Lepisosteus oculatus: one gene and its partners. The protein of the gene in region 3 interacts with the protein of the main gene of each other region in a pairwise test. Links are inferred from orthologs where the notes say so. Each region holds a gene or a part of one and is shown on either strand. Other genes may lie near its edges. The genes, in order: syt16, sorting nexin-10, rabac1 and nudt18.

Evidence for each region.
Region 1: the proteins of rabac1 (region 3) and syt16 interact in binary tests that used the Homo sapiens proteins (3 or more experiments, as listed by UniProt). The link is inferred for Lepisosteus oculatus from reciprocal best matches to the Homo sapiens genes RABAC1 and SYT16.
Region 2: the proteins of rabac1 (region 3) and sorting nexin-10 interact in binary tests that used the Homo sapiens proteins (3 or more experiments, as listed by UniProt). The two-hybrid records come from large-scale screens. The link is inferred for Lepisosteus oculatus from reciprocal best matches to the Homo sapiens genes RABAC1 and SNX10.
Region 4: the proteins of rabac1 (region 3) and nudt18 interact in binary tests that used the Homo sapiens proteins (3 or more experiments, as listed by UniProt). The two-hybrid records come from large-scale screens. The link is inferred for Lepisosteus oculatus from reciprocal best matches to the Homo sapiens genes RABAC1 and NUDT18.

Annotation. Positions count from the first base shown.
Region 1 is NC_090703.1:7,514,929-7,522,537, reverse strand, and holds the start of syt16 (synaptotagmin-16), read right to left. Parts: upstream 3,013-7,609; 5' UTR 1-3,012. UniProt on the Homo sapiens protein: May be involved in the trafficking and exocytosis of secretory vesicles in non-neuronal tissues. Is Ca(2+)-independent.
Region 2 is NC_090705.1:786,297-794,227, forward strand, and holds the start of sorting nexin-10, read right to left. Parts: upstream 3,014-7,931; 5' UTR 2,844-3,013; intron 1-2,843. UniProt on the Homo sapiens protein: Probable phosphoinositide-binding protein involved in protein sorting and membrane trafficking in endosomes. Plays a role in cilium biogenesis through regulation of the transport and the localization of proteins to the cilium.
Region 3 is NC_090722.1:9,966,996-9,974,263, reverse strand, and holds rabac1 (prenylated Rab acceptor protein 1), read right to left. Parts: upstream 3,015-7,268; 5' UTR 2,956-3,014; coding exon 2,885-2,955; intron 1,963-2,884; coding exon 1,750-1,962; intron 1,212-1,749; coding exon 1,114-1,211; intron 550-1,113; coding exon 448-549; intron 360-447; coding exon 271-359; 3' UTR 184-270; downstream 1-183. Other genes in the region: dedd1 (death effector domain-containing 1), read left to right, coding at 5,482-5,956, 6,875-7,015, 7,121-7,264. UniProt on the Homo sapiens protein: General Rab protein regulator required for vesicle formation from the Golgi complex. May control vesicle docking and fusion by mediating the action of Rab GTPases to the SNARE complexes.
Region 4 is NC_090697.1:68,281,179-68,288,619, reverse strand, and holds the start of nudt18 (8-oxo-dGDP phosphatase NUDT18), read right to left. Parts: upstream 3,016-7,441; 5' UTR 2,972-3,015; intron 2,678-2,971; exon of another isoform or gene 2,585-2,677; intron 2,033-2,584; exon of another isoform or gene 1,976-2,032; 5' UTR 1,938-1,975; coding exon 1,779-1,937; intron 800-1,778; coding exon 586-799; intron 1-585. Other genes in the region: disintegrin and metalloproteinase domain-containing protein 9, read left to right, coding at 3,900-3,984. UniProt on the Homo sapiens protein: Mediates the hydrolysis of oxidized nucleoside diphosphate derivatives. Hydrolyzes 8-oxo-7,8-dihydroguanine (8-oxo-Gua)-containing deoxyribo- and ribonucleoside diphosphates to the monophosphates. Hydrolyzes 8-oxo-dGDP and 8-oxo-GDP with the same efficiencies.

The DNA of each region.
Region 1 (7,609 bases), on a different chromosome or scaffold from region 3:
CAGGTGACTGAACGCCAGCAGGCTCAGACTGAGACACGGGACGTGCACTGAGAATAGAGTCACTGCAGGCTGCAACATCTACATTACTTCCAAACATGCAACACAGGAGTGGATGGGTAAAGCAATCTTTGAACTACAGCCCCATTCTAACCCTTTTAAAGAAGCTTCAATCATTACTACTATATAATTCTACTCTATACCATACAAGTGAAATGATCATGGAATCTAGCATTGATAAATGAGAGGTTTGGGAATAATCCAACAAATTCATTCAGGTATGCACTTGGCTTTATATATCACTCAGCTACTAGTAACCAAATAAGTTATGATTGGGACAAAGGGCTGCCTCTTGTTTAGAACCTTTCTTCCTGTCTTCTGTTCTAAATTAATAGCATGTGTCTCAGTTCTGAAAACTCTGCTCCACGGCGCCCCATGTGGAGTTTTGGCCTGTGCGGCTAACAGCTGGCAGCCGGCAGAATTGCCCGAGAGTGCTTCCATTTCCCAGGCTGCCCTGCTCCCACTTCTCTCGCAGCGCTCATTAAACAATCTCCTGACCCAAGCCCTGCTGCGCACTGCACTCCTCCACATCGCCAGGTAACACAAACACACTCGGACTCACCCACACTCAGCGGGTGGGAAGTGCCCATTATCGCAGCCTTAATTGGGTTTAAACTGCGCTGAAAGCCCTTTGCAGGTTCACCGCTCTGTTCCTCAGAGAGGGAGTTTGCTCTCACCCAGCGCGTTGTGCACTGAGCTCCTGGCCATGTGACATCACTGCTGGCCTGTGGTGGGCGGCACAGGAACAGGAGAGCAAGCAGGGCAGTGACTCAGAGGCGTATTGTGAAGAAAAATGTGCCGAATTCAAATAAAGGGAAGCAATGTTACATCTGCATAATGCTCTTGTATGACTGTATTTCAACATTGTTCGAGAGCCTCCTCTCTTTTGTAATCTCTTATCTGTCGCCTGGCCGGGCACAGCAGATATTGGCACCATTACCTCACACTGTCAAGCGTTTGCACAGTTCTTATATTCATTCAATCTTACCGTTTAAACCATAGTCCAAACACAGCAAAAGAGACAGTGGACTGGCTGCCTCCCGTGATTATTATTTCATTTTCAAGGCAAGATCTCTTGGAAAAATGACTGACAATGCCTCTAAATTCAAGAACTTTTGGAAAACTAAAGTCAACACACATGTACTGTGCAGGTGCGACTATTTACTTAGAAAAAAAATGTGATCATGTAATGGCCAATGAAGATGTGCCTCATTCACTTCTTTACTAATATTGTGTGAGCGTGACTGGCATGTGAAATAATTCCTCAGCCTAACCTTAATGGATAATTGTGTTGAGTGTGGCTCTTTGATCTCATATAAGCTTGTATATGATAATAATGTTCACAAGCCTTGCTATTTAAACAGATGGTACAACAGGTTGATCTAGTCACCTGGTTGGTAATACCTCACTTTATCCTATTTGATTGCTCCACCTTCCTTCTTCAGAAGCTAAATTCTCTATTGTCTGTTAGACAAACACAAGACCAGAAAGTTGGTTGCAGCAGAGCACCGCTCTCATCTGCAGGACTCCAGGACTGGCTAAGATCACAATCTCCTGGAGACGAGGACACCAGGCAGGGCTGCACCCTGAACAAGACACCAGTGCGGCACAGGAGACACACACACACACGAGCACGGAGGAAAAATGTAAAGACATCAATTAACCTCGTCAACATGTTTTTGGAAGGTGGGAGAAAGCCTATGCAGAGTCAAACATGCCAATTCCACACAAAAACCCCGAATCCAAAAGCTGTGAGGCCGCAACGCCAACCACAATGCCTCCTTTCACCACGCGGCAACTGTTGTTCAGTTCTGTACTGTCAGGAAGTGAGCAGATGCATTGTGGGAAGGCACGCACTGATGAAGAGCATCAGACGACAGTGTTCACAGGCTTGTCAGGGGGGAGGATGGGAATGTCACAGCTGCAGTTAGTAATGAACATAACCCCCAACTATGCAATCAAGACCAACAACCCTATTACGCTATCTAGGGGACTATAGTCGCTTAATACACTGGTGGATAGCAGCGACCACATTTGCAAGCCCAGAAGAGGGTGCTCTGTGATTGTGAAGCATTATACAATGCAGTTAACAGAAGAATTGAGCCCCAGTAAAATACTGCAGTTGTCTTCCTCACAGGAGACCAAGGGCAAGGTCCCAGTCATTTTTAGTCATGCCAAAAAGGAACCAACTGGTTGACTCTTTGACTGTAGGATGCAGTCAACAAGGCCAGGGGATTCCCTCACACAGAATGAAACTCTGGTCAGCGTGGCAATCATTTTCAGACTCTAACAAGGGCTCACTTGTCTTTGATAATTCACCTCATCGGGACAGGTGTACATTTGTAGCAACACAAGAAAAAATTGAACCACACTCCTGAGAACTCTTAAAAACTCCTTGGAAAAATAAAATTGTTTTAACAAATAATCAACCTTATTTTCAATGGCCTGGCAATAATAACAGCTATCGGTCAGGGAGGTGCTCTTGCTCAGAGAGGGAGAGAAGATTGATTATTATTATTATTGATTATTACACTGATACAGGAGCGAGGTTCCAAAACATACCACAATATCCACTGAGGCACAGTATCCTCCAAAGTGTGCGTCTCTGAGCTGTTAAAACAGTAGAAGCGGAAATACTGTCCTCTGAATAGAGAGAAAATTAAATTATTCTGAAACTCCCATTCTTGTATGTAGCCCAAAAGCAGTACGCGGAGATCTGTGATTTATTTTTTGTTCTATGTGTTCTTCAAAGTCACAGCAAACATGACTGGAGTGAGAGGTAATTCGAGAATGAAGAAAACAATTTAAAAAGACATATTTCTACTAACAGGCTTCAGTCTGCAGTTCAGTGACTTTGCAGTGATTTTCACAGGAAGCAGACCAGAACACAGTGAGGGAGACAGTCTGCCAGTCAGCCTGACAATGACACACACAGACCCCTAGCAGACCCGACGGCCTCTTACCCAGACCCTCGTGAATCCCTGCTTTCTCTCGGGAGCGTTTCTTTTTCCTGCGGTGTTCCAGGCAGGGCAGGCCGCCGATCCTCTGGAAACAGAGCTTCTTACTGATGAAGAGGAAGAGCACAGCCAGCACCACGATGAAGACGCCCACCGCAGACAGGAAACCAATGGCCTCAGGTGTGACTACAGACAAACAGACACACAGAACAGCACTTCAGAACAGGCGAGGAGAGAAATGCTCTCGAGAGGCCATTCAGCCCATAAAGCCTGTATGGGAGGTCACTGATTCAAGGGTCTCTCTGGTTTCTTGAAGGAAACAACATGGGCAGCTTGTTCATCTCACAATCCTTTGGATAAAGATGTGCCTCCTGTTTTCAATCATAAATTCACTTCCACATAGTTTTCACTCGTTCCCTCTAGCCCATGTTTCATTGTTCAAACAGAGTACTTGGTCAAATGGGAGGCACAAACACTGGGCTCATTTTTGCACATTGAAGTGCATTCATTGTACATCTACATAGCAACTTGAATAGCCCTGTCTGCCGCAAAGCCTAAAGAGCCTGCAAGGCAGAAAATGAAATCAGATGTCATATTTCTCCACCCAGCACCACATCAAATCTTTCAGTCTGACATGATAGCGGTCAGGCAGAACACCCAAATCTGACAGGAAGACAGACTCCTCGATAAAGAGGTTCTTTACAGGACAGGCAACTCAGCAATAAGGTCACCGGCTCAGACTCTGTATCTTCTGAGGTAAGGAGCAATCTTTCTGTAGCAGATGAAAGTGAATGGATGGGAAGACTGAGGATGAGAGTCAAAGAAAACTGTCGATGTACTGCTCAGAGGTCTCATGAACCAACCAGGCTCTTCAACAAGGTACACAAGACTGTGAGCGAATGTCTTCGGGAGAGAAGACGTCTTGGACCCAGCACTGGAGCGGGTGTCTTCAGTGAGCGCTCGCCCCCTGAAGGGGAATTTTCAGAGGCTGCTGGAAACATCAAAGAGGAGCAACTGTGCTCTTCCCCGTTGCCGCAGCACGCTCCCCAGATGAGGGCTTGCTGAGAACAAACGCAGGGCGAGCGCATTATGCATTCAAACACCTCTCAGACGCTTCACGACATTTACCAGAGTCTTTGTGCCAGTGTCGTGTGGGAAGATATCTTGATTGGCGGGCAGGGAGTGGGGGTGTTGTGTAGTTTTGTGTGCGCTGACACCGATTGCCATTCTCGACTGAAGCGGTCCTGCCTACTCACAACGCTCATCTCTCGCCACAGAAGGAGAGACTGCCTGAAAGGCACAGGATCCAGTCCCTCCCTTCCATTCTCCTTCCAGTTTCTCTTTATTCCATTCCCATGGCATTTTCTGACAGCGCTTTAGCCCTGACAGATACAATAAGCCAAGGTCTCTCTTTATACTGATCCACAGTGGCTTTGTTCGAGAAATAACAGAACCGCCATCAATAATTCCTGAACGTTGTTACTGTAAAACTGCCTCTGTTCCGTTTCAAAGGATTTCAGACTGTCAATTTGTCATTCTATTGACATAGCACCACGCACACAATCCTCCCTCAGTACACATTCTATTCTTGTTTAATTTTCTTCCGCAAGCTGACAAGAAATATGAGCAAATCTAGACACTTATGAAGTCCAGACAGGTACATCAGACTTTCACAGATGTTAAGCATGATACTGTGCTTAAGCCGAATAGTATAATAATTATCGTCGGAGATGTGTCAAATGATATCTTTATTTTCTCAGGTGTAGTAATTAAAGTTCCTAACATATTTAACACATTTTCTAACATATTTTATTATCATATTTATTCCTAACATCTATAGTTACTACATGAGAGCTAGTAGGATGCAGGAGTAACTCAAAACTTTCAAGTCCTCACCAGAACAATCCTAGAATGAACCATCACTGCTCCTGTTGCAACAGGTCTCAAAGTGAGCAGCACACATTTACAGAACACTGCCAAACTGTTGGAATAGCGGTGTATCTCTCTGTCGCCGTCTCTTCAGCTACAGCAACCTCTGATTACAAAAGGGAGAGCAGGAGCAACACAGAGAGGACAGCCGTTCACAGCCAACATCAAACAATCCCACCTTTCTCTGCACTTTCCTGTGCAAGTGCTGTTTTGCTGAATTCCAGGTCTGTACCAAAGAAGCCACAAGGTCCTCTGCAACGTCCCATCTGCCGAATCACCTAGAAGACTAAATTCTCTGAAGACAGCAGTTGCCTCTAACAGACGCCGAAATATCCCACATACCGTTTCTCCCTCCAACTCGCAGGGCTGGAAAAGCAGGTCTGGCCAGTCCTTAGGGGTTTATGCTAACTCATACAAATGGCCCGTGTGCTTAAAAGTTTTCCTCTAAAAGAAAAAGGACAAAACAACCTTCACTTCCTACTGTGCGCTACATCTCCAGCTTTGAAGAAAGACAAGCCCCAGTGGGAACTGCACCCTTGTAGACTTTTGGGATCAGGAGCCCAGAGAGTTGCGGGCTGTAACCAGCCTCTGTATGGGCTGTGCTGGAATGCTGTTTGCTCTGTGATTAACAGACACCGCAGAAGGTCCTGGCTCAGTGGCAGGTGTGGTAGGTGTGTGCCGGCTGCACCTCACAGCGCAGACCCAAGCTGAGCCACGTTAACCTCGCAGCACAGAAAGGACAGGGGCTGGTCCCAGGGTGCATTGTATAGACCTGCACAAAAAAAGCATGTTATTAATTTGGAATGTTACATAATTTACTGAGAATTGAAAAGCCAAAACAAAATCTATTCTTCCTGTTAAAAAGGTATCCTTGAATCTCTCCCTTTGTCCCTGCATATCCATGAAACTGCATCAGATTTCACCCACGCCTGCAAAGCTGGGCCACATCAAACTTAGCAATGCTAATTAAATCAGGGATTTCATTTACACTACCTGTACTTTCTCCTCTCAAAAACTAAACGCAGGTTCTTTTGGGGAATTATATTCTGCACAAGACATTCATTTTCAAGGTGTTTGGGAAATGTAATTTGCTGGGAGTCAGTCACCCCTTTGTTTTCGTGCGGGGACAGTGCTCGGGTACATGGCCTCGAGTTCTTGAAATGTCAGGCTGCTATTTTTGCCAGTGCCTGTGAGAGCCAGAGGTTTGCACAAGGCCTCCCCCCTCCCGAGGAAGGCACAGTGGTCAGTTTCCCTGGTAACCGGCCTCTTCTTCCGCACAGAGTGCTTAAAAGGCAATGTCTCCATCATTCCCGCTGAAAAGGAGAGGTCTATGTTGCCATGGCACCCGGAAGTCTTGTGCGGCAGGGTGAGAGCTTAGAGGCTGGACAAGGAGGAGAGGCTGGTGTGCGGCTTTCAGGCAGGCCCTGAGGAGAGAGGCAGGCCCCGCCAGTGGCAACACCAGGCCCTGAGAGGAGGTGGGGGGATTCACATACTAGGTGACAGAAAATAATAAGTGAGGACCTCCTTGCCCCTGTGCTCATCACTGTTCCTTTTATCTGCAAACACCTTCCCCTCTGGCTGTCCTGGCTGTCCTCTTATAGACCAGCGCAGACCTCTGGCTAGGATGAGGTGCGCCCCCGCTGCCTTCTTACTTTATTCCCTTATCATACATGTCATTACCTGTGACTACGAAGCCAGTTCCCATTCTATTACTAACAGCACAGCCTTGAGGACTCGTGGCTGTGATGGAACATCTATTATAGCACAACAATGATCTGTGTGCGGATATGGATGGTGGTGGACATGCCGCATAAACAATCCCACTGCTTCACTACTGGTTTGGGTTGGCTACTTTGCAAGAAACCCCGGCGTAGAAGTGTTGCTCCTATTTCTTTGCCACTGGTTATTCACGACCGACAGCTCAAACACGCACATGCGCTTCATTAGACTGACATCACCCAAAGAGGCTTTTTCCGTCCATTTACACTCTCGTAAAGGCAAGGACCTTGGGCGGCCAAGAATACACCTAATTACCTGGCAACTGGAGAAGTGCATGGCCCTAGCAACAGCAGAACCACGGGCACGGGAGTGGTGCAGCTCCTGCTCCCGCTGTCTTTCATCCGGCCACATGGGGAGAGGACAAGAGGCCTTCACAGAAAGAATCAGGGGTACTCTGGGAGCACAGAGCGAAAAAAAGCCAAAGGCCCTGCAGCAGCTGATGAGCCACGGAAGTGTTGAAGACCCAGGGAGCACAAGGGAGTGTACAGTCTAGCAGGACTGACTGTCAGTGCTGGACAGCTCTGCCCTCACGCAGGGCTTGCAGAGGGGGAGGTGAGAGGAGGGATGGAGTGGCCGGGAGAGAGGGGTGATTTTGAAAGAGGAATGCTCAGTGGTTCAATATATGGATTTCACGCGGTGGTCTTAAAAAACACATCGGCTCATTTTCTGAAATTGAGTGAAAAAAAACAAAACATTTTCAAACCTTTAAACACTTCCGGAGTAAAAACTGTTGAAAAGCCCCTCCAAAGGTAAATAATCTAAAAGGACAAAACATTAAACGCCTAGCTCACTCCCTCTCTACATCGCTCAGATTCCCTGGGGTACTGGGAATCCTTGTTATAAACCTCACTAAAGCACAAATGCATGTTTCATCTTGTGTTTTACAG
Region 2 (7,931 bases), on a different chromosome or scaffold from region 3:
TGAGCACGAACTCCATGTGCCTGCCGTGCCGTCACCGCCGTACGAACAGACAAACCTACATTCACATGTGCTCGGCTGATAATGGGCCTTTTATAATTTATGCTTCCTTCTTCTAAAATGCCCTATGTGCTCTCCAAGGGCATAAGAGGAAGAACATGCTCTTGTTGCACATAAACATATAAACAGACTACAGTGAGACCAGTGCTTTCACAGATACAGTACTCCAAAACTGTGATCCTTCATGAAACACTACTGAAACGAAGCTGTGGGCCAGTAACCTGTTTTCACTCACCAAGCAGTCAGTGACAGACAAATGTACAGCTTTTAATGTGAAAAATTCACTGTCCCGATTGACATTAGGGGCAGCGATTGTGAAAAGCATTAACATAGTCTAACAAATTCATCAAGAGAGTTTTGTACTCATGCCTTCAGAACTAGTTTTGAAGAGCTTTAGTATGAATTGTTCATCATTCCGGATTGTTATGTGGCCAAACCAAGTGCCACTGAATGTCCTGTACCTGAATGATTACAACACCTCTAATTGCCATGTTCACATTTCTAGAAGCAGAAGAATAAACACCAAGAACACTAAACTTCCACATTATTTCGATTATTCATCATTTGCAATGACAACCTGGAGCACCATGTACACAGCAGGGCCCTTGAAATGCATTTCAGAGCCTGAGAACAGCCCTGCGGAAACTGCGCCCGGAGCTCTGATCGCAGGACCGGCGCACAGCCGAGATCAGACGGGACAGGACCCCACACAGTCAAAACAAACCACCTGCTCATCACGAGGCAGACGGTCCCCGTGTCCCTCCATCACCTCCTCAGCACTGCCTCCATTCTCACCCCCACCCGGTCAGGCTGCTGGCGGAGAAACCAGTCCGACCCACAGTCTGAGCACGTCGTACACACGCTATACTGCCACGGCACCAGTTTACTGCCCAGCTGATCTTTCTGATACTTCAACAACCGGGATACGTTGACTACATTACTAGTGAAGGCTTAATATGTTCAACCTTGTTATTTAAAGTGCAAGAGCTTCCTCACACACAGAAAATGATTTCACCTCTCCAGCAAACACAACCTGACTACAGGAAGTAGATTAAATGATTTACTCAGCAGTAACAACGCAGCACAACAAGCCTCATGCTCTGTCAGGACTGTTCCCCTCTCTGCTGGGGAAACGATTTAACAGCTTGCATAACCGCGGTTTGATAACAACCTGCTGAACTATTTACAGTCTTTAACACCGTCAGCAATAAATACAGCAGCTCCAGGAGGAGCCAGCCACAGTGCAGGTCTCCAGCCCAGCAGCTCAGTGCACATCAGCAAGCTGACAAAGGAAGGTTAACGCAAAATAAGAATGAGAATCAGGCTACCGTTGCTAGCGGTGATCCGCTTGTGATTTCTTCAGCTATCGGCTCCGGGACGGGTTGTGCAGGTGAAGAGCGGGCGTATTAAAACTGTCTGACCTCCACAGGCCAGATCACCTCACATCTGCGTTTGCTCAGCTAGAAACACGCACACCTGGATCGCGAACAAGACCTCGCCGACAACTGACTTACAAATAAACTTATTGGGAAAATCGACAGGCAGAGTCTGAAACCACCTGCGGGGAAGAGACGAATACCCCTCACACACGCACACACGATCTAAGCAATATAACAGAGCGATAAGAAAATGATCACTGCCGAGAGTGAGCCATCACCTGCTTGTGGAAAACGGCTCTGCTGGGCGAGAAGCACAAATCATGCAGGAGTCGCTAGTAAAAGCAAGCAAGTAAGGGAGCGAGAGACGACAAACCACCGCAAACAGCGGCCAGATCTTCTGAGTTTCAGGCTAAGAGGTTCAGAAAGTCAAGGAAGAGCTTCAAAGAGAAATCCTGACAAACATTCAGGTCATGAGTTCATCAGCTCTGCCTTGATTAAAATCAGATGTTTGTTAGCTACCCTTAATCTGTTCAAACATGATGCAGTGGATCACTTAATAATATTAAGACATATGGCATTCCACAGTTAGAATGGTCTAGGATTTTACGGTTAGACTGACATCAGAATGTTTTCCAGGCTTTTAATACTTTCTAAAGGAAGCACGTAATCCGAGTTTAGCCCGACTAGATTTATATATGTGCAATATGCAGTCAACCGTGTTCTTCATGCGATTCTGGTTTATGTTTTATTTTCTTGAGCTCTTTTTGCTAATTACTTTATCGTTGTTGGGCGAAGCATTTCGGAGGGGGCTGGAATGGGGAAGCGGCGAGCTCCCGGCGCTGGGAGTCGCTATGCCGGTCTGCGTGAGTCTGTTTGGTTAGGGGGGCAGGAGGAGGAGAAGTGTTTTTTTTTTACAAGTCAACGATCGTGACTCCAGCCTTCGCTTTTACATGACATAAAGTCCTCCAGCCGACTAGACCGAAACGCCGTCTCCGAGACGCTACCCACGCAGTGTCTGAAGCGCTTTCTGCGGAGGCTCTGCTGGGGGGTGTTTCGTGCGCATCGGCAGCGCTGGTGCGGATCCGCGTCGGAAACGTGGGGTCGCAGCTGCAGGAGGACAGAATGGCTGCCGGGTCCATCACACACCTCACTGCAGAGACAGTTAGTGCCCAGTTATACAGAAACCACCCCCCAGGGCTCCAGAGAGCTGCAGCGTTTATTCGACAGACCTCTGCTAAAGCTCGGCATGGAGGGGCAGGCTCCGGTTTAGGCTACACGAAGGTAACCGGATCATTTACAAGCGGTCGTGGAAACGGCGCTTTCAACAGACGACCACGGCTACGCCGGAAAGAGAGACGCAGTCCAGCCTCATCGCGCTTTATGGTAGTGTAACAGTGTTGCACTTACCGTAGACCGCTGTGTCTGTCACAGGCTGCCCAGCCGGCGGTCAGGACGCGCGTCGGACCAGGGCTCAGACTTGGCGCACTGCTCGCAGACCAGACTGAACGCCGAGCTGTAACACTGCCGGAGTGTCTGTTCGCGGAGACCACGGCTCTCGCAGTTCCTGGAGCTCTTGTGGGGAAAGTGCCTTTTACTCGCACACAAAGCCGTGACGTGTGAGATTGCGAGAGACAAGGAGGCTCTTACTACAAATTATTACACCCCTCCTCCGCTTGCATGATTTTGGGCGTGTTTGATCTCATTCATGAGCTTTCTGTGAATATTTTCTAGCCCAAATGTGGGCTATTTTTTTTGTAAAAAAAGTAGTACAATTTTAACGGTAAAGGTTTCACATGTCTACGTTTTAGCACATGGCATGATCATTTTTTTTCAGATTGGTTTGTGTTGGGGAATTATTTTTTTTATTTTTTCCCCACTGCTGTTCTCACACATCGTTGATTTATTTCCGTTTTTATTTTTGTGTAGCTGTGTGGCGAGTCCGATCCAGGTGATCTGCTTTCCTTCGGCACCTCTCCTGTGAATTCAACAGCATGTCAGACTGGGCAGGGGAAGTGTAGTATCATGGAGGCTTGTTCTTGGGTCCCAGGTTCGATTCCTGTGCAGTTGTGTGTGGAGTCTGCATTCATCTGAGTTGTCTCCAGGTGCTCCAGTTTCCTGACAGCTCTGAACTGGTGCCTGTAAAGTGCTGCTGTGCATGTGTCATCGAGTCAAGATGCAGGGGTGAGAGAACCTGCAGAGTAGCTCAGTCCACAGGCTGATTGTGAAACATGGTGTACGACATGGCCAGAGCAGACACTGCAGGGCCGAGACAGGACTGGTGGAGTCAGTGGACAATGGGTGGCAACAGGTAAAAGATAATAATACAATTAACCTCAATAATAACACTTTTCTTCATGGGACACTCAAAGGGCTTTATTACAGCACACACAACAGAAATAAGATAAAAGTACTGCAAATTAACTCGGTGAAGCTACAGAACATAATAAATTAATCCAAACTCTAATTAAATAAAACTCAGTGAAAGCTGGGGCCCAGTAGCTTTGTAAACCAGTTAAGAAAATTATAGTTAAAATGAAAGCACTTTATAAACTGATGACAACAGCATGGAGCCATGTTAAGAAAATGGATACGAACTGTCAACACAGGCCGAAAGAACAAGAGACGGGGAAGGAAAAGGTTTCAGAAGGTTGAAATCCGTATTTTTAACAGAGCAACAGCGAAAGAACATTAAAGGATCACGTGACGTGTCTCACAGTTTTGGAGGAGTGTGTTTTTAGATAATGAAAGTGAAACATCTGATGTGCTGAATGAATATTTCACCAGGGTGTTAACCAACTGACACGCAGCCTCAGGTTCAGTATTGAATAAGGGGCTGATAAGAAACAGCTGTGTTCCTGGTATGAGACGTGTTCAAGATAAACACATCTCCAGGGCCTGATGGCCTTCAGTCAACTGGAGATTTTATTCAGTGACCATTAACAAAGTCTTCTAACAGTTGCTCAAGACAGGAGAAACTGCGAATGTAGCATCCATCCATAAAGTGGGTGGCCAAATTGAACCATATAATCACCAACAAATAAGTCTTACTCCCGTTACCCATAAAAAAAGGTAACAATAATTAGAAGACAATTAGTGGCTCATCTGTAAAGCAGTAGCATCCTAGGCTAGAGTAAATAATGATACTGTACATCTTGCTTAACAAATGTGTTAGAGCTCTTAATAAAGCTTTTAATACATTTCCTCATGAAAGATTCATTCTCACATTGATGGCAGTTGGCATTTAAGATAATATATGTGTTTGGATTAAGAATTGTTTAATGGATAGAAAGCAGACAGCAGAGATAGGGGGTAATTAGGGTGATGTAATTAGTGGAGTGCCACAAGAATCTGTATTAAGGACTACTCCCTCCATCCAGTTTCTAACTGCTTCATCCAATTCAGGGCCACAAGGGAGTGGAAGTCATCCCGGCAGGCAACGGGCGCAATATGGAGTACAGTGCATCGCAGGACGCACGCGCACACACGCGCACACACACCTGGATCGATAGGGACTACCACTCTCCCTTATTTACATTAATGATCTAAATTGCTAGTGTACCATCAGAGAAACAACCGGCAGATCCTGGAGGATGATTTCACTACTGGAAACTGGTTTGCAGATAACACCCATATGACAGGTTAGCAAACACCAACAAAACTGCAAAGGAAAATCAAAATGCTATGGGTATATTCAAGACTGGTAACACACCTGATGGATGATGTCAATGTGCACAAATCAAATCAAAGTTTATTTATCAAATGCACAACAATTCGGCGTGCAGCAGTACTTGCTGGCAATGAAATGTCTTTTTTTCTGCGAGCTCACCAAAAAAAAGTGTAAAAGGTTACAAATAGGGAGACAAAACACTGAGAGAACTGTATGACACTCTGGAAAACGTGACAAATTTACCTATAGAAAAGACTTGGGTGATTATGTTGACACCCTTTTTATTTTTCTAGGCAAAGTGAGGAAGCAAATGTATTTGCCAACAAGAGTAAACTTATCATAAAACATTTCTTTGTTTCTAGAAACATGCTGTGCATATTCTACACTCTGGAATCAGTCCAGAAATGACAGACAAGACGCATTCCTGGTGTATAAGGAATGTCTCACATTGACAGGCTGAAGGATCTGAGCTTTTTAAGTGCTGAAAGGAGAAGATTACAACAAGACTCGACTCTACATAATCCTCAAAGCTTTGACAAAGTCAGCCCAACAGACTTCTTCAGGGCACACATGGAAACTACAGGGACGTACAGTTAGAACTGAGAGCAGGAGGCAGTTCTTTACATAAAGGGTGCTGGTAGCATGGAACAATCAACCCAGCCATGCTGTTGATGCTGATGTCTGGGTTTTCTTCCAGGAAACAGCTGTGAGATCCTTAGATTAATTAGCTACAAGCAACCAGGCAGGATATGTGTGCAAAACAGCCTCATCTCATTTGCAACCTTTACGATGTGTTTTAAATTTCTAAATAATAAAATAAACATACATCAATGTCATTATAAGTGTTGTATCATGTTTATAGTTCACAAGTCTGCTGTTTAAAGAGAAAACGCCTAGAAGCAGATAACATTCATAACATAACAGATAACATAGTTTCCTGGCTCTGCCACAGTATCCCTCCAACAAAGTAGCAAGATATTGTCTTATTATGAGGAACAGATTAATGATCAGCATTCCAGCACTGATGTTTCCATGAGTCATCATGTACAATCACATCCACACATTGCAGCATGGAGCAGAAGAATCACATCCAGGCATCAGCGTGGTCAGTGCTTGAGTCCCAGACGGGGTACTACTACTGTACCCTGAGGATGGTACTTCTCTCAGGTTGTTCCAGTGAAAGTTCCAGTGGTATAAATGCATACAAATGTAAGTTGCTTTGGAAAAAGAGTTAAAGAAAAAATAACATTTTTACTCTTTGAATTTATATGAAAGTTATGTCTCGCTTGTGTAAGAGAATTTATCTGCAGGAGGTCAAGTTGGACTTGATTACTAAGGCCCTGATTCAAATTACTGTAATTCATGTTCCCAAAGTGTGAAAGAGAAATCTGATCCTGCCTCTCTTGCGGGTCCACTTCTGTAGAAATATTGTTTGCCCAAGAGGTTATCATAGATCAGCTAAAAGAACTACATTGTAAGACACTGGTGACATTACCTGTGGGCCACCAGTGTGCAGAGCTATACCTTCCTTACTGTGTAGAATTGTAAAGAAGGCACGCACAACTAAGAATGTTTGGATTAAAAAAAACTTTTTTGACTATAATGCTTACGGCACTGCAATAACTCTAGGCGCAACATGAATGCAGTCTTTATTAAAATATATAATAAACTATTTTGAGGTCTCTTTAAATTCTGCATTCTTAAATGTTTTGAAGTATGTTTGCACAGATAATCTTTTCAGGTCCTATAATATTCCAAGCATTCTGTGAGCTGTTTTCTTTTGAATAAAGTAACTGCAAGGCCATTTCCACACAATGGAGTGGATTCAGATCTCAGCTACCAGAGTGCTAGAGTATACAGTGGGTTTAATCAAGACAAAGATCTTATCTTTACTTGGGCATCAAACAGAAGTATTTCAGAAACCTGCTGAGCAAGAACAAACAAAATTGCAGAAGTGTTTTTGTAGCACTTGACAGTTCTACAATTCCTGACCCTTTTAGTCAAGGTTTAGAAAGAGGCACTGAAACAGCTCGTTAAGATAGTTAATGATTTGCTAGTGTCACTTAATATCCTTCTCTTCTTTTGAGATGGTCAATCACAGCATCATGAATCACTAAGAAAATGACAGTGTTCACTGCGTGGTCTGTCCACTGGTTACTTTAAGGACAGAGTGCCCGAGCTCTGCTGATGCTCTTCTCCCTCTGAAGACCCGACTCCACAAAGTTGAAATCCCAAAACCCTCATTTTTAAATCTCTGAAGACTTTTCTTTTGACTTTAGCTTTGTAATTTCAGTTTAATTTAGTTTTACTCTTGGTTTGTTCTTTTCTTTATTCTCTTTCTAGTACTTCCTTAATGTGTATTACATTTCTGCCACTGAACTGCTTGTGCTTTCAGTTTCATTACAAGTATTCTTTTTCATCATCTTACTATTAATAATGTTATTACTGCAACAAGAACCAAACATCAGGTCTGCACCACATGACCACTTCTACTCTGTTCTCTTTTGAATTTGGAGGAATATATCGGCTCTATTTGTTAGATGAGAAGAGTTTTAAGTTTAGAATGAAGTGTTATCAGCCGAGAGTCAGTGAGTGTCCTCTGTCATCTGCAGTGTTTACAGCTATAACAAAGCTTTCGGCACAGAGGCTGATTCTCAGTACTGCGACAAGAAGTGATGTGCATATACTGTACAGCCTGCTAGTGTCACAACAGCTGCTTCTCAGAAAAGTCTTACCATGAAATGTCTTTTATGTTTGTACTCTAAGGCTTATTTTTTTCACCATTGCCCTCCTACATTTCCAGCCAGTGTGAGTACATGCCTCTCTTC
Region 3 (7,268 bases):
GAGTCAGTGTGTCAGTGTGTGTGGGTTTGTCAGTGTGTCACCGTGTCCGTGTGTGTGGGTGTGTCGCTGTGTCAGCGTGTCACTACATCAGAGTGTCAGTCTGTCGGTGTGTCAGTCTGTCGGTATCAGCTTGTCAGTACTGTCAGTCAGTGCCTTGATAATAAATACAGACAGACAGGGAAATGCGTCGTCACAATGACTGAGTATTTGTGTGACAAAGAGGCAAGAGTAACTAGGGAAACAGGGTGAAGAGGAGCAGGAGGTCAGGGGTCAGACGGGTTCCATGGTGAGCTCCTCCAGGTCCCCGTTCTCCAGCTCACGGAAGGCTGCGTGAGACCCAATCACAGCCAGCGTTGCACCTGAGTGACAGGAGCAGGGACACGCCTCAGTACAGCGGCACAGGAAGGGGAGGAGCAGAGCAGAGGGAGGAGTCAGACAGGAACTCACCCAGCACCCAGAACACAGCTGCTCCTGCTCCAGCCAACCAGAACACAGGGAAGGACACAGCTCCTGCCAGGGCCAGCTGGTGTCCCCCAGTGACCTCCCTCCCTAGACAGAGAGAGAGTTCATCCAGACACACTGTACATTAACACTGCACTGAGAGAGGGGTTAATACAGACACACTGACTGGACACTCCAGTACATTAACACTGCACTGAGAGAGAGGGGTTAATACAGACACACTGACTGGACACTCCAGTTCATGAACACTGCACTGAGAGAGAGGGGTTAATACAGACACACTGACTGGACACTCCAGTACATTAACACTGCACTGAGAGAGAGGGGTTAATACAGACACACTGACTGGACACTCCAGTTCATGAACACTGCACTGAGAGAGAGAGGGGTTCATACAGACACACTGACTGGACACTCCAGTACATTAACACTGCACTGAGAGAGAGAGGGGTTCATACAGACACACTGACTGGACACTCCAGTACATTAACACTGCACTGAGAGAGAGAGGGGTTAATACAGACACACTGACTGGACACTCCAGTACATGAACACTGCACTGAGAGAGAGAGAGGGGTTAATACAGACACACTGACTGGACACTCCAGTACATGAACACTGCACTGCACAGGTGTAGACAGACGGACTCACCAAACAGCACCAGTTTCTTCTCCAGGCTCTTGAGGTGGATGACATAAAACGCGCCAACGAACACAGCCAGGGCCAGTAACAGCAACGGGGAGCTGATGCTGAGAGAGACAGGAGACAGAGCTGCTTCATTTCACTGCGACAGAGCGAGTGTTCAAAATCCTCAACTTCTGTCCATGCAGGGTCAGTGAACGCCTGAAACCTGTGACTTACGATCCCTCAGCATCAACTTGTGACCTGTGACCCTTGATCTGCAACGCCTTGGTAACCACCTGCAACCCCCGGCAGTGACCTGTGACCCATGACCCCCCGGCAGTGACCTGCCACCCGTGACCCTCCCCGGCAGTGACCTGCGACCCATGACCCCCCTCCAACAGTGACCTGCGACCCATGACCCCCCTCCAACAGTGACCTGCGACCCATTACCCCCCCCACCCCCAGGGCTGTGACCTGCGACCTGTGACCCCCCCGGCAGTGACCTGTGACCCATGACCCCCCTCCAGCAGTGACTTGCAACCCATGACCCCCCCCAGGGCTGTGACCTGCGACCTGTGACCCCACCCGGCAGTGACCTGTGACCCATGACCTCCCCCCCCCCCAGCAGTGACCCACGACCCGTGACCCCGCTGCTGGACTCACATGCAGTACAGGATGAGGCCGAGGAAGATGAAGGTGTAGTTGCTCTGGTAGGTGTCCAGGTTGCGGACGACTCTCTGGCACAGATCCCCGAAGTTGCGCGGCTTGGAGAACCGCCGCTGGTCCACAAACCCCGCCCACGGGCGCATGGCGGCGCGGCGCCGCTCCAGCCACTCCCGCGCCACGCCCCCGGACAGCCCCCGCGGCAGCCAGAGCCTGCGACACAGAGAGAGTGACCGCCTGCTGGAGCACACACTGACCCCACTGACACTGCCCACACTGACACTGAGCCTGTCACTGACCACACTGACACTGAGCCTGTCACTGACCCTGAGCCTGTCACTGACCCTGACACCACTGAGCCCACTGACACTGAGCCTGTCACTGACCCTGACCCCACTGACTACACTGACACTGAGCCTGTCACTGACCCCACTGACACTGAGCCTGTCACTGACCCTGACACCACTGACCACACTGACCCTGAGCCTGTCAGTGACCCCACTGACACTGACCCCACTGACACTGAGCCTGTCACTGACCCTGACACCACTGACCCTGAGCCTGTCACTGACCCTGACCCCACTGACCACACTGACCCTGAGCCTGTCACTGACCCCACTGACACTGACCCCACTGACACTGAGCCTGTCACTGACCACACTGACACTGAGCCTGTCACTGACCACACTGACACCACTGAGCCTGTCACTGACCCTGACACCACTGAGCCCACTGACACTGAGCCTGTCACTGACCACACTGACCCCACTGACACTGAGCCTGTCACTGACTCTGACACCACTGACCACACTGAGCCTAACACTGACCCCACTGACACTGAGCCTGTCACTGACCACACTGACCGTAACACTGACCCTGAGCCTGTCTTTGACCCTGAGCATGTCACTGACTGTACTGACCCTAACACTGACCTTTTACTGACCTTACCAACCCTGACACTGACCACACTGAACTGTCCCTACTAACCCTGACCCTGTCATTGACCCCACTGACACTGCACTGGCCCACACAGTGTAGAGACTCTCCAGGCTGGACTGGACTGACTGGACTGGGAGCTGGATTAGTGATTCACTGGGATTAAGAAAACAACAGCGTTTCCATGAAGGGAACTTACTTCCCGGCCAGTCCTCCTCCGGCCGGCTCTCCCGGTTCCCCGCTGAACACATCCCCCGTCTTTCCTGCCATCGCTGTCCCGCTGTCGGCTCTGCTGCTTCCCGGACAGCGCCAGGACAGAAGGACAAAAAACCAGCTTCATCCCCCTGGAACTCAACTGACGTACGAGGACGAATCAAACTGCCCCCTGCACCCCGCAGGGCCACACATTCCACGCGTGGGAGTGCGTGAGTGAGCTTCGGCGCGTTGCGTGCCAGCCTATAACGTCATCACCCAACCTACCAGAACAACGACGTCACTACATCCCTCTCTACGTCACTGTTCCAAACAAAACAAACAGTAAAGATGAGTTTAGAAAGTGAGTGAGATAATAATAATTATTATTATTATTAACACGTAAACGACGTGGTCTGTTCTCACCAGGACGGCGTTAATACCAATGGAGGACCGTGAATATTTTTTTCCAATTGGAAGGTTTTTCCCATTTTCGAGTGAGCCAGGTTTTCCAGCAGGAAGAACTGGAGACACTTCTTCCCATTAGCCCCGCGCACCGAACCAACAGCCGCAATTCGACACCGCTGCTCAATCCCCAGTCTGATCCCAAACAGTATTAAAAGGTTTGAAATAATTATATATGTCTCAGGAACTCCGAGACACTCACCCTCGGCGATGCTCTCTTTGTGTTCCGGCTCAGTTCCGGATGTGACGTGTCCCCGTAGGGCGGCCAACGAGCTGGCTATTTACCGTAAATCGCCTGATAGACGGGTAGCCGGAATTAGCTCTCGGCGCCTCCGTGTCTGCAGCACGGCGCGCAGGCCGGCTCTGTCAAACCCCCGTTGGCAAATGGGGTGCCTACACATCTATAGCTCAGGGTGCGAGCGCTGGTGCATTTCGCTCAGGAAGACTGTGAGAGACAGGTCAGCCCCAGTAGGGGTATCTGGACAGTGTGGGACCATAGAGGCTGCTTTGGTCAGGGGGTGCTGGTGGAGCACCTCACCACTATCTTCCCTCTGGACCAGAATTTCCAGCCCACTGGCCCAGTATGGTGAACAGGGACACCGTCCTTTACAAGGCACTGCCCTCGGGATGAGATCTTACCGTCGTGAAACGACAATTTGGGGCCACTGGTGCAGAATGACCGCTGTGCGTCTCCCACACACTCGGAGAACACCAGCGCTATGTAAACGCAAACCGTAGACTGTGGAGGAAACTGTGGAGGAACCCAAGTTGCGCGTCTGTGCTACATCAGTTATTACGGTAACTCGGTTTGGCAGCTCAGTGAGGGCGTCAACTTTTTGGTTGCTAGGCGACCGAGCAGCAGGCCCCTCTTCTGCACCCTAGCGGCCAGGCTCGGGATAGCGCCTCCGGCAGCCAAACAGAGCCCCGGATCCGCTTCATGCCAGCAGCGCTCTTAAGTAATAAAAATAATTCCTTACACTTATATAGTGCTTTTGTGGACACTCAAGTCAAAGCGCTTTACAGGTCATGGGGATCCCCTCCACCACCACCAGTGTGCAGCCCCACCTGGATGATGCGCCAGTCCGCTCCCCACACACCAGCTCTCAGTGGGGAGGAGAGCAGAGTGATGGAGCCAGTTCAGAGATAGCAACGCAAGTAACGCAACTTATCAAATCCTTAATCGAACAAAAGGATTGATTTTGAATATTGTGTTTTGTGCGCTCAGACACGTGTCACCACTGAGAAGCACAGGGTCCGGGCTCGATGGTAACCAGCCTGTACCAGCTCACAGCTCTAACGGCCTTTCCAGGTACGAACAGCTCGAGCTACACGCCGGGCAGAAATCAGGAAAAGGCTATCCGGACTTCCTGCTTCCAACTTCCTTCGCCGGCCATCGCGAGTCTCGCCCCTATCCACCTGTGAGCGAGCCTGTCAGGAAGACCTGTCCTCCTCCGTCTCCTGGGCGCCCGGGGGCAGGCTTCCTCTCCCAACATGGCGACTCTCGGCGTCGGCAGATCACGTGCGGCAGACCCTCCTCTCCCATTGGCCGGTGCCTCGGTGATGGCGGCCGCTCGGCGAGGGGCGGTCGCGCATGCGCGCAGCTGCTTCTGGAAGCTGCTAGAAGCGGACGAGTCGCGAGAGAGAGCGGACAGGGTTTGTGCAGCCCGGACACTAGACGAGCTTTGAACTTGCCAGCGCACAGCCAGCCGCCCGGATCCCGGCCCGGTTCCGACCCGCACCGCAGCAGAGCGCTTGTGACACAGGTCCGGCCGGAGCGGTCACTCTGCGGACAGCCGCCGCTGGCCGGAGCCCCGGGACGGGCGCAGCAGAGGGGAGACGGATCTGGAGACCGCTTGTCACGGGTGGGGGAGGCGAGACACGACGGGACAGCTGGGGTAGACTCGCCTCTGTGTCGCGGAAACACACACACACACACCTCCAACCCACCCGCACCTCTTCCGCGAGCTCGTGACGTCACCGCAGGGGCCAGCCGGAGAGGAGGGGCGCACGTGGGCTTACATAACGCCTGCACGTGACCCGGGTTGTTTGTCAACAGCGCGGCCGGCCCGCCCTGCGTGGACGCCCACGCCCACACCTCCGACCACACTCGCACCCACACCCAGGCCCGCCGGTTCGGCCATGCCCCCAGTCCCAGTCCCAGTCCCGGGCCCGGCCCCGGCCCGCCGGCCGCTGTGGTGGGACGAGACGGAGTGCCTGACCTACTACGGCATGCAGTCCCTGCACGAGCTCTTCGAGGTGGTGGGCTCGCAGCTCACGGACACGGACGTGGACGTGCTGTCCTTCCTGCTGGACGAGACCTGCCCCGCCGCCCACCCGCTGCACCCGGCCGGCTGGACCCCGGACCCGGCCGCCGACGAGCCCGAGCCCCGGGCCGGCCCCCGCCTGCTGGAGGCCTGGCGCCGCCTGCGGCCCCGCGGCTCGCCCGCGCCGCTCGCCGCCCGCCACCGCCCCAAGTGCGGCGTGGAGCTGCTGCTGGAGCTGGAGCGGCGCGGCTACTGCAGCGAGTCCCGCCTGGGGCCCCTGCTGGAGCTGCTGCGCGTCCTGACCCGCCACGACCTGCTGCCCTTCGTCAGCCGCAAGAAGAGGAGGACGGGTGAGGCCTGTACCCCCTTTCTGTGTGTGCACCCCAACCCCCCAGTCAGTGTGTCTGTATTAACCCCTCTCTCTCTCAGTGCAGTGTTAATGTACTGGAGTGTCCAGTCAGTGTGTCTGTATGAACCCCTCTCTCTCTCAGTGCAGTGTTAATGTACTGGAGTGTCCAGTCAGTGTGTCTGTATTAACCCCTCTCTCTCTCAGTGCAGTGTTCATGTACTGGAGTGTCCAGTCAGTGTGTCTGTATTAACCCCTCTCTCTCTCAGTGCAGTGTTCATGTACTGGAGTGTCCAGTCAGTGTGTCTGTATTAACCCCTCTCTCTCTCAGTGCAGTGTTCATGTACTGGAGTGTCCAGTCAGTGTGTCTGTATGAACCCCTCTCTCTCTCAGTGCAGTGTTAATGTACTGGAGTGTCCAGTCAGTGTGTCTGTATTAACCCCTCTCTCTCTGTGCAGTGTTAATGTACTGGAGTGTCCAGTCAGTGTGTCTGTATTAACCCCTCTCTCTCTCAGTGCAGTGTTAATGTACTGGAGTGTCCAGTCAGTGTGTCTGTATTAGCCCCTCTCTCTCTCAGTGCAGTGTTAATGTACTGGAGTGTCCAGTCAGTGTGTCTGTATTAACCCCTCTCTCTCTCAGTGCAGTGTTAATGTACTGGAGTGTCCAGTCAGTGTGTCTGTATGAACCCCTCTCTCTCAGTGCAGTGTTAATGTACTGGAGTGTCCAGTCAGTGTGTCTGTATTAACCCCTCTCTATCTCAGTGCAGTGTTAATGTACTGGAGTGTCCAGTCAGTGTGTCTGTATTAACCCCTCTCTCTCTCAGTGCAGTGTTAATGTACTGGAGTGTCCAGTCAGTGTGTCTGTATTAACCCTCTCTCTCTCTCTCTCTCTCTCTCTCTCTCTCTCTCTCTCTCTCTCTCAGTGTCCCCGGAGCGTGTCAGCGCAGTCCCGGTATTGGGGTACGGGGGTGAAGCGTCAGTGAGCTCCTCCCAGCGGCCAGAGAAGGACTGTGGTGGACAGACAGACCTTCCTCCGGTCTGCGCCGGGGCCCAGTGGAGTGCGGGTGAGTGGGGCGCACCGAGTGGGGGTCCTGTCCTGTGGTCTGTGGGGGGGTGTGAGCAGATGGGTCTCCAGAGCCTGACCCGCCCGTCTCTCTCTCTCTCCCCAGGCGTCGAGTCGTCCAGGCCGAGCCCCAGCCCTCAGAAGCGCGGCCGGGGTCGGAGACGCAGGGGGGGCGGCGCCGCCCCGGAGAGGCCCGGTCCAGCCCAGGGGGGCCCGCGGCCGGGGCAGCAGCGCGAGCGTGTGACCTGCGGTAA
Region 4 (7,441 bases), on a different chromosome or scaffold from region 3:
CAGAGAAACCAACTCCTAACAACTGGTTGAGCACACTGGTCTGAGAGATCTCTGGATTATAATCTATTGTAATAGAATTGATGCATCAAATCCTTTTGATTTCATCTCTTAATTCCATCATCTCCACTTAGAAGGCAGGCTCCACCTTGAATTTTGCATTCATCCATTTTCTAATCGTTTCTTTCAATTCAGGGTGGCGGGGGAGACAGAGTCTATACTGGCAAGCAGCAGGCACATGGCAGGATGCAGATGCCAGTTCATCACTGGGCCCACTCAAACACAAACAAGCACACACTCACGCCTGGGTCATGTTTCCTCAGCAGCCAATTCACCTACACGTACTGTATGTCTTTGGACTGTGGGTGGAAAACAGAGCACCCAGAGACAATGCACGTGAACACCGAGAGAATCCCAGTAACTGAGCCCAGGGTTCCCAGCGCTGCAAGGCAGCAATGTTAACCTCTGCGCCTCCCCCTTGTATGTCAGTGCCTCACAAACTCGATTCTTCCATCCGGTCACCAGTGTCGTTCTAAAACACGTTGCCCTGCACCAAGCTCTAAAAGCCAGTAATAAATTCTGCACAACCTGTCGCTCGGGCCAGAAAAGTGAATCGGATCCAGCGCGGGCCGTTCTCCTGCACCAGGAGCAGGGTGACCGGGTCGCACTCCAGGCCCGTCTCCTCCCTCACCTCCCTTCTCATCCCCTCCACAATGCTCTCGTTCTCCTCCATCCTGCCGGCGGGGAGGTACCACTGCCCGTGGCACTCGGGTTTCGCCTCCTGCATCATCAGCACTTCGTTCTGTGAGGCAGGAGGCCAGCAGACACACAAGACACACCATGAGGCCGGAGGCATCCCTCAACGCGCTCGTTTGCATGTAGGGTATGGGTGCCGCAGGGCTCGGAGACACAGAGTGCACAGGATAATCAAGTCACTGGATATTCACTCATATCGTCAACTAAAGATAATCATTTACTAATCCTTACTACGATCTTTTTCTCATTAAATCTTTGTTGTAGGCACTAGCTTGTGTGGGATTTTAACTACATACAGCTGTGTTTCTAATATTAAAATACGGAGCAGTTTGGCTAGTGGAAGTAAAAGAATAAGTAAAAACACTTTAGGACACTGTTAATATTTCTATACTTTAATATGTATTTAGTATGTATGTAAAAAAAATACTTATTGACTTCAATCAGTGTGCTGTACCTAATGGTACCAGAAAACCATAAAACGTTTGTATTTAAAGCCAATAGATGGCAGTATGAATCTACAGGGTCATAGAGGACAGGAGCTTAGCACTAAAATAAAATAACTGCTTGTTGAGGAGAGTGATACACAACTCTTAAAAAGCACGGGCTTGAAAGTAATAAACGACAATTTAAGTAAGTGCTTTCACAGACTGAAATACACAATTTACCACTGAGTTGACGGCGGTAATTACCTTCTATTGGCTAAATGGAAGCTTACAGTTGACATTTGTTTACATTCGTACAGCGTTTTAATCCCAAAGAATCTCAAAGCTCTTCAAATAAGAAACCTGCTTCTATTGAATAAACACTTCACCCTTCACTATTGTATAAAGATTGAAAGTACTGTATTTTGTACTATTCTATTTTTTAAATTAAAATCCAGAAGAGTTCTGGTTTGGGAAGTCCAGTCGGTTAGCTGGGCTCGGGTACAAATAACGTTTCTAATGCCGCATGGCACGTTTCTGCTCTCCGAAACAAAAAATGAATCCAAAACGTTGAAAAGCTATCTTCCGGTCTACCGCGTTTACCTTTTCGTTAAAGATGACGCCGCAGACGATGTAGCAGGTAGTTTTTCTTAATGCTACCGACTGCAGGTCCGGAGCGGAATCAAACCGCTGCACGGGCGAGCCTTCACCGCTCAGAATCTTCTCCAACTCGTCTTCCACTGTCCGATGAGCCGAACCCATTGCTGGGGAAAGCGAAGTCCCGGTCCGGCCCGAACCTTCTGTTTATAATCGAAGAAATTCGGCGACTGAGTTTGGTTTGCAGATCCCTTAACGGGCTTAAAGAAAATAATATAGGGAAGTTAACTTAAATATATATAATTTGTGTTTTGGGCAACGCTTGGTGGAAACATGTGATCGTCACTAGTTTCACCGAGAAGAAACTCGTCTATCGATTAGCGCTTCAATGCACCTTTTTTAAAAGGTAGTTATTATTGCATCATGGAAACCAGCGATCTGGTGCATTGTTCCTGGGTTCAATTCATAGCTGCGTAGTACACAGAGCTAAAGCACCTGACAAATGCTGATGGATGCAGATGTACAATGTTGTGGTAACTGTATCCACCGTAAAGATTACTGGGAGGGCTCATAAAATTGTAAAAAAAAACTATGATTAGTAAGGAGCTAAATGCAACGTCCTTGGACTGGACTCCCAAGTGCCTCTGCAGCAACCGTGTTTTTTCTGCTACTGCCCAGGAGTCATTGAAATCAAATCTGTATTGTTTACCAAACCAGAAATCTCCGTCTGACATACATACAAAAACAAACTCAGCAAAAGTGTTTCGTACATCTGTCAACAACCGGAAAGTGGACATGCAATTCAGTTTTACCTAAAACGCAGCTCTGCTTTTACTGGTACGCTAGCTGTTTTCTTCGTTAGCACGTACAGTATATGTTGTACAGTAATAACAGCGGAAGTCCAGCCCACCCACTGTCGTTGGCTGCGAGCTAAGGGATAGTAAAAAAAGTCCAAGATACCATTATAACGCACATAACAAAACGCGCACAAAAGGTTTGATTGCACAAAACAGATACAGTACCTGCAGAACTGCGTTTTTTCTTCTGTAGTCTCACTGCTACAGATAGGCTATCTATAAAGTGCTTTTCTTCAACATTCACATGTTTAATAAGTATTTTTTTGTGTGGCCGGCAATGTATCCTAATGACAAGTCCTAAATGTAGCATACAATTTGAACCATTAGTTATCTTTTGCTTACAGCTGCGAGTGTTCTACTCCTCCAGAATAAAAGATGATGGTCCTGGTAAATTAATTTACGAATGACAGGATAGTTAATATTTTTATTTACTGCATTTGTTGACGAGTCGAATTTACAGCTCAGACTTCAGCCATAAATGGACTATTTACTTCGATAACTACTTATTTTGGATGCATTTGGAGCTCTGTAGCTTATTCTCAGCACGGTCTTAAATGGAAAACAGTCAAAAATGAAGAAACAGCTGAAGGAAGGGATATGCATTTATTCATGCGTGCAGATTATTTGTACGAATGCGCCTAAATGTGAAACCTCTTCCACAGACCTTACAAATAAACCCTTCCATCAGCATATTTAGAGTAAGGAGCGCGTCCTTGAAAAACAGACAACTGTAGCTAGCTGCTGGCCGAAGTACAATCATCGTTACTCTTCACTGTGCGGGCTTGCAGCGACGTTTTTTCTTTGTATCCTCTTTCTAAATTGTCCTTCTTCAACAGCTGCTGCTGCCTGGTACGTGTGCCAGGCGTACGCCTGTGTGCGCGGAAGAAGAAGGGTTAACCTTAGCTACGGGCCCGTTTGTAGAGTGACGCATGCTCCGTGCAGTCCACTCCACTCGAACTCAATGGATAGCCCAACCTGAGCTGTCCGGACAAACAACGCTGGGAAGTCAGTGAATCAGCATATCTAGTCGTTATTGCCAGCACATGGTAGTCATTTGTTGTTGTTTTTTTTCTTTGAAAAATAACCGCTCATAAAATAATCTGGGAATTTGGTAGAGAAAAACAGAGACAAAGATGGCTCGATAAAGGTTGTCGGAGGTGGTCTACTACAGTATGTGGAAAAGGCATCTACTTCTTAGGAGGCAACGCCTGGATAGAGGAAAAAGAATTGAGTTGTTAAGCGATTACGCCGACTTTATTTCTTAACGAAGATGGGTAAAACTTTGCCCCAGAGCTGCTTTACTTTCGTTTTTTGGGGGATTTTGCTTTCAGACGGGTTCACCTACGGTAGTAAAAGTAAGTGACGCCGATCTATTCACGAATTCAGACTTCAGTAATTAAGTCTACATTTTTACTCAAAGCTGCTCTGGCACTTTGAGTACCATACTCATCGTCGTAACCTACAAATGCAGCCTTTTTTCAGTTCAACAACCTGCCGAGAAACTTTTGTGGTCCACCGTTTGTGACCGTCTAACATGTGCTTCGCTATGTTTCTACACGGGTCGTTTTGAGAAACGCGAGTTTCTAAAAGCTGTTCCGTAATGATATTCTTTGCTGAATAATTTGTATACTCCATACAGCCCATTTAATTGTCCACTTCAAAAGTTAATGGCAGTTTGAAGGTGAATGTTGTAGGTAACCGAGGTGAATGAATTGGGGCTGGTGTTCTTGGGGAAGCCTTTGGGAAAAAAAACGACGCAGCGGATGAAGGGAGTTTTCGATTATACGGTTAGTGAATACCTGCCAAGAAAACTAACACAGTTCACATCGTACATCATCCTGCTGTCCTTGCAGTGTCGCTTTGAGATGGAAATAAAGAGGTTGGCCGGTATAGATTAAAGCGAGGTGGTGTGTACACCCAAAACGATTGCATGTACAGTAGTGATAAAATCCCCTTGTCTCCCTGTGTTTCAAATAATCCATGTAGTTGTTGTGTTAAATTGGGCTTCTTGAAGTGTTGCCGTGGTGGGAAAACATCCAGTGTTTGTCAACCTGCACGCTGCCACATAGTTTACACATTTACGAAGAGTTGTTCGTTTAAGTATCATCTACTGTAGTTATAAAGGGTCTTGGGTGTACAGTCTTGGCAGGCGGTCTAATCGTGTGTTTTAAGCGTTTCCAGTAACTGGCTTTAAACGGGAACAGATTGTGGTGGTGTCCCACAGACGCATCGTCTGATTGAAGCGGGTTTGACAAATACTTTCTGTGGTCTACAACAGTTGTCCTGCTTTGGGAGGTCTTTCACCGTAAAGGCAACACATCGATCTGTTGTGCTTGCTGTGAAGATTTGTAATTTTACTCGATCTCAAACGGCCGCCTATTACGATTGTTATTGTTGCCAAAAATAAGTTCTTCAGTTTCATCTTTTTTTTTTGGAGGGCGTCTGGCAGTCGATTTTTGAAAGTAATTTAATACTTGGATAATGCTATTGAACATGCCTGGATTGAATCGTTTAAATGACAAATAGATCCTGTTCAGAGGAATTCTAGAAAATGATTGAAAAGTAAGTCCTTTATTGTTGTAGTTTAACTGAAAACATGACAACATTTGTTTTTGCTGCAGTTGTGTGATATTTTTTTCCCGCTCAGACTCAGGTAGGACTGTACACCTTGAGTGGTGCTGAATGGGTTGTCAAGCCTGTTTTATAGGTTCTACGATCTGAAGTGCTTTCACAATAACGAGCTGTCCAAACACCTCCCATTTTCTACAATACCGCTTGTCGTTTTGTTTTTCAAGAATTAAACAATTCTTTCCACAGTTTGGAAGCAGAATGACTTTTTCCCATCAGAGAAGCTAGTCTTGGGGCCCATTACTTTTTATTATTGAGATGCTTCCCCTCGCTCGGATTATAAGCGTAGTTTCATTGTTATGCAGATATTCAGATTTACGTTAAAACCTCTTCTCCCTCGGGATCTGCCGCCTCCGTCAGTTATCGCTGGTCTGCGTAACATCATACTCTGCTTGACGTCAAAGTCCTTGGAAGATAAGTAGTGATACAACGGAAATGATATTGACGGGCAGCAAATGTCAGCTGGGAAAAGCTGGAGAGCCTTACAGCGACGGTGGATGGCTTCCCCATTCAGTCAGGAATCTGCTCAAATTCTATTAATATCCGATGCTGTGAACTTAATTCCCGTTTTTTTTTAATAAAAAGGTTCGATTTCTCTAACTCTTTGCTCCAAAACTCCAAAATATGTACAAAACTCTACAACTAGAATTCTAATTCACACCAGACCCTATAGCATATCACTCCTACACCTAAATTTCTACATCGGTTGCCTATAAAATGAAGTGTTCAGTATAAGTCCTTGGTAGTGACATTTAAAGCTCTTAATAGGCTCCATTCCCATAGGCTCTGTTCTGTTGGGACTGGTCCTTTGCTCACAGTAGCCAGGATCTTGGTCTTCTGGTGACTGTGCCTTTGCAGAGGCTGCTCTGTTGTTATGATTTGCACTTTCTCCGGCTCTTCAAGAGACAAATTATTCGACTCTTTTGAAATCTAAGCCTAAAACTCACCTTTTGTATTAGGACCTATGTCTGATTGCCCTACAGATGATCCTGTATGTTCTTGTTCCGTTTTTTTCTTCTTTTGCTGATCTCTATCACTGTGTACAGCATCCTTGGGATTGGAAAAGTGTTTTATAAATAAAAAATATTTCATGATCCATTATGCAGTGCTTTCAGAACTGTTTTCTTCCTAAAAAAAGTGTCTTGCCAGTCAGGATCCCTTTTCATTGAGGTGTAAATTATCAGGAATAGTGTGGAATCTGAGAGGACTGGGCTCAACTCTGACAGCACCTATACAGTGGAAACAGCCTTAGCAAATACATCATCTCAGATCCTTTGATTGCTGTTTAGTAATTGTTATACTCTAGCCCCCTCACATCTAAGTATTTAAAAACTATAATGCATAGTTTTATTTTAAATACAATAATGGATTTTTAAAGTCTACGCTGTCTGTATTGCTTTCATTACTGTATTTTGTATTGACCATGACAAGATTCAGAGAACATCTTTTGTTTCAGGCCATAATGGAAAATGTCCTTTGAATGCCACAGGCTGTTTTTTGTTTTGACAGACCAAGCCCTGAACACTGTTCCAGAAGAGTGCTGGAAAGTGCTGTCTGCCATCGTATATCTACTGTATTGTTCTTTTGTAAATAAATGACTAGCCTTTTGATTTTTCTTAACATTTCTAGAAGCTTGTGGGTTTTCATTTTTTTTGTATTTTCTAAGGCCATTTACAGAAACTTTGGTTTGGATATTTTTCTGTATTTGTGCTGAAAGATAGGTTTGTCACAATAAGAAAACATTAATACTGAAGTATTTCTGGGTATTCAGTATTTTATTTCCTCATTTACATCTCTACTATGTACAGGGCTGTTCTGGATAACGTAAACCTCTAAGTTTTATTTAAGCCTTTAGTTTCGCCAGCAGCCATATCACTCTGCAACTCACAACTGGCAACCCACTGAAGCTCAGCAGGTGTGAGCCTGGTCAGTACCTGGATGGGAGTCCTCATGGGAAAAACTAAGGTTGCTGCTGGAAGAGGTGTTAGTGGGACCAGCAGGGGGTGCTCACCCTGCGGTCCATGTGGGTCCTAATGCCCTAGTATAGTGACGAGGACACTATACTGTAAACAGGCGACTTCGGATGAGATGTAAAACCGAGGTCCTGAGTCTCTGTGGTCATTAAAAATCCCAGGGTGTTTCTCGAAAAGAGTAGGGGTGTAACCCCGGCATCCTGGCCAAATT